Coturnix japonica: one gene and its partner. The protein of the gene in region 2 purifies or fractionates together with the protein of the main gene of each other region. This does not show direct contact. Links are inferred from orthologs where the notes say so. Each region holds a gene or a part of one and is shown on either strand. Other genes may lie near its edges.

Region 1 (3,813 bases), on a different chromosome or scaffold from region 2:
TACAACAGAAGCCTGGTTAAAGCTTTCTCTTCTTTTTTTTTGCCAATCTGATGATTTCATCCCTCCCCACTTTTTTTTAAAAAGAATATTTTTCATAATGTTTACACTTTGAGATGATGGGAGCTGATCTGACTTAGCTTCTATGTTTCTTGTGTGGTTCTGTTATAGAAGATGTTAAGGATAGAGAATGTTACTGTTAGTGTTACAAATTACGCAAGATCTTGCTGATAGTGTCTTCAATAAATCATGAACTATCTCATTTGTCCAGCATAAACAAATTACTCATAATTTTTTATATACTAACTTTTTGAAGTGAAATCTTTTCCTGAATGTAGATATATGTATATATTTTTAATTACCATAACCTTTACTTAATTCGGTATTATTCTGACATGAGAACCTGATTAAAACATGTTACCAACATGTAAACTTCCTAATTTGTTGTATTGATGGGATACTTTAGTTGCGTTTGTCTTTTTTAATAAACATATATTGCAATAGTGTAATTGGACAGTTCTTTATGCAGACAAAACTTAGCTAGCTCTGGTACTTACAGTTAGTCTGCATCAGTTCTGAAATCTGGTTTATACACCTTTGAGTTCCTATTTAAGAGTAAAAAGTTATCTGATAAAAATACCTTTGTCAGAGAAGCATCTTACTAATGAATATTTATTTTATATGTGTGTATGCATTTATCTTATACATTACTTTGTGGTTACTTGTGCTACTGATATTCTTCTGCTATGCATAAGACCCACCCAATGCAGTACGATATGAATACAGTAGCTTGGATCATAAGTGGTGTAGTTGTGTCAGCTGAGAACTGTGAAAATAAACCTTGTGCCTCTACAGGAAATTTGGGTGTGGTGCTGTGCATTTAGGACAGGATTGCAGGCCTTTGTGTTGCAGATATAAGTGCACAGGGTTATGCTGTGTACATTTTTACAGTTTTCAGTTTTACAGTTTTCTGAGCCCCTACATTTACAACTCCAACTTTTGTTTCAACTTAGTCCCCTACCTTAGTGCTTATATGCACTTACAGTGATTTCTATGACAACCTTGTTTAATACCTTCCAGTGATATAATACTTCTAGTGTTATGAACTATAATGCAATTGGATTGAAGTTCTTTCTTTGAGATGAAAGGCAATGCTACTGCATAGTCTAATGCTATTAAATAGCTGGCCCTGTAGAATGTGCTTTACTTTATGTCAGATCTTGAATATTTTCAGGAATTCATGGTAAACTAGCAAGTATGTGTGGTGCATCTGTCTTAATGCTTTGAAGATGAATTATCTAACTACCTAGAAAATCTTAAAGAATTTAAAGGTTCTTCAAAGTAGGTTAGCAATATGTTCTTTGATCGAGTTGTGTGGAATGTTAAATAATACTTTTTTGGGGTGGGTTGTATTTTCTAGGTTATCTGCTGGATCCTAATGGAGAAAAGTGTGTAACTGCACCTCGACAAGTTTCTGCTCTACACCATAAAGATGTTTCTGTGTCGCTGGTGTCTGCAAGTGATGGTGCTACAGTGTGTGTTACTGAAAGAGGGGATATTTATTTACTTGCAGACTATCAGTGCAAAAAGATTGCTTCGAAGTATGTGTTACTTTTCTAATTTGTTATGAAGTTTGAGGTGAAGGTTTCACTATAGGCTTCTACTTGCAGTAGAATTATTATACACAGTTTTGTGTATAAAGTAAGACTAGTACAGCACTACTCTGAGTTTTCTTCATTCTCAGTTGTCATATGAACTGCAGCAACTTTTTTGAGTTTGTTTTGTTGTTAGATGGGGCCGAATGCCATTCATTGTTTACTAAGGATATTTTAAACAAAACAGTAGGAAAAAATATTTCATGCTGCAGGCTTAATTTTGAAACTGGTAATTTTTTGTTCATTTTCTGATTTCAGTTTGTTTAAATGTATCTGGGTAGAGATGTTGAGGATGTCCTGCTTTGTTCTGTTTTTGAGTCAGTCAATGTGGCTCTGAATTTCATAAAGAACATGTGGAAATAGCATGCTGCATAGAGTAATTTAGGTTGGAATAAGGACCTCGTGGTACCACCTGGTCCATGTGCTAAAACCTGTATGTAAAACCTGTTGAAGAAACTGGGCCTATGACTCATAAATTATAATTAAGTTAATTAATCTCATTCTCTCTGATAGTTTTCATGAACAGATCAGAAGAGGTAATACGTTTTTTCAACAGCTTCCAGTTATCTTTTCAGCTACCTTTGAAATACTACCAGTATTCATTAGCTTAGGGATTACTATTTATACTTCTGTTCTCTATCGTTAAATAACCATTCTTACACTAAGAAACTGGAAACTGTTATCTTCCATGGCTTTAAGCAGTTAGATTGGAGGGAGGTTGAGAAACTCCTGGAATAAAAGGGCAAAAGGTCTTTTACTATAAACTGCTAAACAAAATTAAAACTGAAATGTATGTGGTTCTGAAGATTAAAGCAATTTTTTAATCATGAAAAGAAAACATGAATATGCTGTGACTTTTTAAAATACAAAATAGGTCTGTGCAGTCTACTAATAAAATATGATTAGCAGTTATGTTAGTTATGCCAGCAGATAGCTACATTTAGGTAGCTCGTCAGTGTTACTATTTTAGCTGTGCTTTTTTTTTTTTTTTTTTTTTTTTTTTATTACTTATCTAAATGGTAGATATAATTTGGTCTTAGAAGCAAGATTTGTTTGTGATGGAAAAAATACTACTATAACCTTTTGTGTTCTTCCAGACAGCTGAACCTTAAAAAAGTTCTAGTTAATGGGGGCTATTTGGAATACAAGGTAGACACCCAGCATCTTAAAGAAAATGGGGGTCAGAAGATCTGCATTTTAGCACTGGATGAAGCTGGAAGAGTAAGTTATGTTTCTAAAGTACCAATTTTACAGCAAACTGCTTACTGAATAATAAGTATGAAACCGTTTACGCTCCCTTGGTGAACCTCTGGTTAAAGAAATCAAAATAGGACTTACCTTGGAAAGGAAGATAAAATGCATGCTACAATACTAAATAACTATACTTTACTGTTTTACTATAAACTTAAGTTGACAGTAAAAAAATCAGTCCTAGAGGATGCACAATTCCTTTGCGTAGTGCTGTTAGTGATGTGTTCTTCTATAATATATTAAAAAGCTATGGGAAAACTACTGGAGTGATCTACAGTACTTCATTTTTAAATCTGTGAACATCTAATAGCCTTTTAATGGAGATTGAAACTGTTTTTCTTTTGCATACAAAAGAAGTTAGGGCGTACGTGGTTCTTGTCTTCTATCTTCTCTTACCTCACCTCCCTCGTCACCTTTGCGCCCTCCAGAAACAGTCTCAGAAAAGTTGCAGCTAAGCTCTGTGAATAACTAAGGATTTGTAGCTGTATGTAAACAGTGTCGTCTTAGATCTGTGATGTTATGGTGGATTTATTTTGTCTTATTCTCTTCCTCCTCTCACAGAGGAGCAGTTGGCACAGGCTCCTTCAGAATACTCTGCCAGCCTTTCCTAGCCTAGGTCTGTTCACTGGGAGACCTTAGCCTTCAGTGCCACCTAGTGGTGCTTACAAAAACATTTTGTTATCGAAATGCTGCCTTAAAGAACGTTAAAAACTGTGTATCAAAATAGTGATCAGTGTAGGTATTTCCCTTTCTTTCCTTGCATTTGATTGAGCAGATCATATTTGTTAGGTCATTAGCTGCCTCGGAGGTCATAAACTTGTGCTTCAGTCCTGTTATGAGGTTTATTCTCTAGTATCTGTGGTATTGGTAGAGTCTCTTCAGCATCTTTGGGGTAATACTTTGGCACAAA
Region 2 (4,277 bases):
CACAGCTGCGGGCTCTGCTGGCTGCTCCTGGTGGGCTTCGCTTGGGGAGATGCTCCATAGCCCATAGAGTCCACGCTGGCACAGCAGCGCTGTGTATGGCCATGGCCCTGCGGCTCCTTCCTGCCCAGCATCACCTCCCACAGCTGATCCAGGAGCAGAGCTGTGGCACACGACGTGATGCTCCATCCCCTGCTCCATCCAGTGGCATTCACACCAAGTATTCTCAAATCTGCTCTTCCAGACAGAAAAAATAAACCCTTGGCTTTCCCATTGCTAGAAGAGGTGAATGGCAAAGGAAAACCTTCATCAGGGCCCACCTACAGGAGAAAAACGCCTGCAGCTGCAGCCCGTCAGTAATGCTGAGGGTGACCCCAGTGCAACGTGGAACACATCACACATCTTTTGTCACTTACAAACTTTATTTTAAACCCATTCCTATGCATTACAAAGGAGTAGAAAGGGGAAACAAGCATCCTTTGGAGCTCACCATTACCACCCCTGTGCATTTGCCCCTGCCTACGTGGTTTCAGGATGGTGATGACGTTAGTTGACTCCTGCCAGAGGTGTAACCATCAGCACCAGAGGGGAAGTGAGAGGACAGAAAGGGATGATTGGCACACAGTGAGCTGCACCCCTGCAGTCCCACATCTAAACCATCAGAACACTGGAAGGCTTGAGCAGAAAATGGCTTCTCAGGCACAGGTAAAGTGTCCAACCCAGCCCTGAGCTGTGCCATCCACACAGAGGAGCTGCAATGATGGGCTGGCAGCCCAACCTGGGACACATCTCCCCTCTAGGAGCTGCCTCATCTCCTGCCCATGCAAAGCACTGCCATACCTGGAATGCCTCTTTGGGCTCACTAACTGGATGCCAGCAATCCTTGCCCAAAAAGGTAAATCCCATATTTCCATCTCATCCCTGAGCCACAGGCTATGGAGTGAAGCCTGGCACCATCTGACAAGGAAACTTGCCAAAACACAATTTAGACAGCTACAATTTTGTCAATTTTGGAACAGTGAGTTCTCCTGTCTACCCCCCTAACAGATCTGGAAGCCTGTGTTCAGCAGCAGCTTTCCAGCCAGAGCAGCTGGCTGGTTTTTGTAACATCCCCAAGCTACACCCACAAGTGTCTCTGTCTCAGGACTTCACTCAGGACTCCCCGAGCCCTCCACTGGCACGAGGGTGCTTTCCCATGCTGCCAGTTCCCCTTCCTCCACCCTGCTTCCTCTTCATTTGGGCCTGGGACTCTGCTTTAAGTGTCTCAATCCAGAAGGCGTCAAAAGAGCCCGGAGCCTGATATCCAGGCTCCTGGGGATCAAGGGCGTCTTTGCTCAGCAGGACACATATGGCAGGAATGTTTCTCTTCACTGTCAAGGAATCCAGACCTGCCTCAGGCACGATGGGTTCCCAGATCTCCTCGATCTGTTTGAAAAGCACTTTGGTGATCTGGTGGAGTTCTTTGAGCCTTCTTTTCATGATCTCCACACACGTGATGGTTTTGCTGACAGCCTTGCCTGAGCCAGTGAAAAGGATCTGCCTCACTGAGTCCAGTTCCATCTTGCCAATGGCGTAGCCCATCAGATTTCTTATTTTACTTCCATCTTTCACTTTCATTTCAATGATATCAGGAGGCAGGTCAGTGAAAGGAAGAGGACAAGGCTTCTCCACGATTTTGGTCTTCTTATAGTTTTCCATTCTGCTGCACTGAAAAGGAAAAGCAACCCATGAATACCTGCAATTAGTGATAATACAAACCAGCCACTGTGGGCTTTCCCACTCAGCGAGAAGCGCAGCTGCAACTGTGGCTTCCAGCAACCTGTGCCAGCACAGCAGGGCTCAAAACTGAGGCTGCCATTGGCATCATTTCAGCCTCTGGCCACCAGAAAAGTCTCAGCAGCTCCACACACCTGTACCTGAGAAACTTCTAAAGGCTGCACAAAGGGCTTCTCGCTCCAATTACGTGCAGTCTTTGCTCCAAAGGGCACTGTCTGATTCTGTCAGCCGGACAGGGCAGATACAAACTATCCACCAGAACACCCCGATGTGCAGCAGTGCAAAGCACAGCAGTCATTTCCAGCAGCGGCAGCTCAGACACCGGCGGGCAACATGAATGCTGCCACAGGGGTCGAAACTGGAAGGAGCAGCGCTGGTTCAGCTGGCGGAATCCTTAGAAAAAGCAAAGAATAAATGAAAGAACTCAGGTAAACGGGCTCACGCTCAACCCCCACCCCCAGGCCCACAGAGTCACACGGCTCCCCCCACAGGCACGGTGAAGGCCTCGGGCGGAGAGCTCCGCCAAGGGGAGGCGGCCCAGCCCCACCATCCGGGTCCGGGGTGACGGGAACCGCTGTCCGGGCGGCTCTGCGGGTGCGGGAGGCGGACGGGCTGCGGGGCGGGATGGGGGACACACGGAAAGCACGCTCACCTGCCGGCACGGCGACACTCGACGCAAAATGGCGGCCGACGCCAGGCGTGCGCATGCGCGGGGAGGGAGGCGGAGTGGCGGAGTGATGGCGCCGGGCCTGGGCGGGCTGTGAGGGCGGGGTGGGCCCGCATCTCCCAGCGCACAGCTGGGCTCTGGGCTTCACTAAAGACATGTTCACAACTCAGTAATTCTGTTCTGTACCTGGATAAATTGCACAGCCCAGGCACTACAGGCAGGGGGCAGCAAATAACTCTTTCTGAATAAGAAAGGACCGGCTGCGGCTCTGACTCGCTGCTGCCATTCTGATCAGCAAAGGCACGACGTAGGGCAGGGTCACTTGCTTCCCCCAGTCTCCAAGTTCCCATTCCCACAGGGCACCAGGAACCGCCCCAAGAAGGGACACACAGATCACTGCTTCTACTTCATGCCAGGAGTAACGTTTCCTTATGACACATCAGCCATGGGCTGTTGGCAGCACGCGGATCTGCCCTCCTGAGCTTAACCAGGCATTCTGTGCCACTGATGCATTCACGGGAGGAAAAGACAAGCCAGACCAGTGCATTAGGGCTTTACTGTGATCCACGATAAGAGCAACAAGGGACTTTAAAAGTACGTTACTAGCTTGAAAACATTAAAATAAAAGATAACATATTAATAACAGTGGCATATTAAGAGAAAACTATATGCAAACAGTGGCATATTGATGGTGCTGCTTTGATTAAGGGCCACAAAGCCAGGGTGCCCCCAGGAGTCTGTGACACCATTTGCAGCATACTCACACTAAGTATAAAGATACTGAGGCAAGAGGATGCAAGCAGCTGCTGTGGTCTCTTCTGAATAATGCAAGGCCAACAGGATCCTAGGACTTTGGTCTTCGCCCTCCCTGCTCTGCCATCACTCTGCTGCAGGTTTCACTTCCCTGGCTGCTTCCAGCTGTGTTAGTATTTCATTCCACTGGACAAACTGCTTGGAGAGAAGCAGAGTCTGGTTGTTCCTCTTAAGGAAAGAGAAGCAAAAACTTCTAGGAGGAAATAAAGGTTAGAGAATAGCTGGAGCACCCATCAGCCTGACAGTGCTGATCCAAAACCAATTCCTTGGAGGAGAAAAGGGTGAATAAAACTGTGTCTACACAGCCTACACAGACTTATACCAACTACACACCACTTCTAAGCACTGCATAGTGCTGCAAATTAAAGGTCTTGCTTCAGAAAAGAACATAACTCCCCCACCCACTATAGTTCAGGATGTGTTTCAGCACTGGTATGAGATGAACTGCAAGGCTCTGGCAGGTCACAGGCACATTCAACTGACATGCCAGCTCCTTTGTGCTAAGCCACACTGTAAGCAGATCCATCACAAAAGCTCTGACTCACAGACGACACCCTGCCCTTCCTGTCTCGGATGGATAGTTCTGTCCCTCGGCACTGTAACAGGACTTCACTCCTGAGGTAAGTATAATAACAGGAACACAAACATCACTACACCAGAAAAGGTACCGGCCATTAAACCTAAGGCTGGGGATTGCCTGCTTCCAGCTACCTCTGACAGGGTGAGGTGGCCCAAGAGACAGGTGGGCAGTTCAATCCAAGGCACCAGCTAAAAGGATACTGTCTTGTTGTAGTTTTCCAAGAGCATCTTGACTTCATCAGTAAACTGCTCACACTGCTCCTGCAAAAAACAGTGCCTTGGTGAATAAGCAATAAATAACTTAAAGGACATCTGTAATTCCAGGCAAGTCAGGAATTGTCCAAGGCCAGTACCAAGATTAAAACTCAGGCCCTGGCCATGACCACTCACTGTGCCTGAACGAGTTTCAATAGTTGAAGGAAAGGTTATGAAGAAACACTCATGC

What was found.
Region 1: the proteins of RPP25L (region 2) and IBTK purify together in Homo sapiens (co-immunoprecipitation; 3 studies listed by BioGRID and IntAct, with this or other methods). This does not show direct contact. The link is inferred for Coturnix japonica from reciprocal best matches to the Homo sapiens genes RPP25L and IBTK.

Annotation. Positions count from the first base shown.
Region 1 is NC_029518.1:71,357,220-71,361,032, forward strand, and holds part of IBTK (inhibitor of Bruton tyrosine kinase), read left to right. Parts: intron 1-1,417; coding exon 1,418-1,598; intron 1,599-2,749; coding exon 2,750-2,873; intron 2,874-3,813. UniProt on the Homo sapiens protein: Acts as an inhibitor of BTK tyrosine kinase activity, thereby playing a role in B-cell development. Down-regulates BTK kinase activity, leading to interference with BTK-mediated calcium mobilization and NF-kappa-B-driven transcription.
Region 2 is NC_029547.1:7,294,382-7,298,658, forward strand, and holds RPP25L (ribonuclease P protein subunit p25-like protein), read right to left. Parts: upstream 2,861-4,277; 5' UTR 2,426-2,860; intron 2,167-2,425; exon of another isoform or gene 1,908-2,166; intron 1,705-1,907; 5' UTR 1,696-1,704; coding exon 1,150-1,695; 3' UTR 401-1,149; downstream 1-400. Other genes in the region: DCTN3 (dynactin subunit 3), read right to left, coding at 3,320-3,409, 4,034-4,093. UniProt on the Homo sapiens protein: May be a component of ribonuclease P or MRP.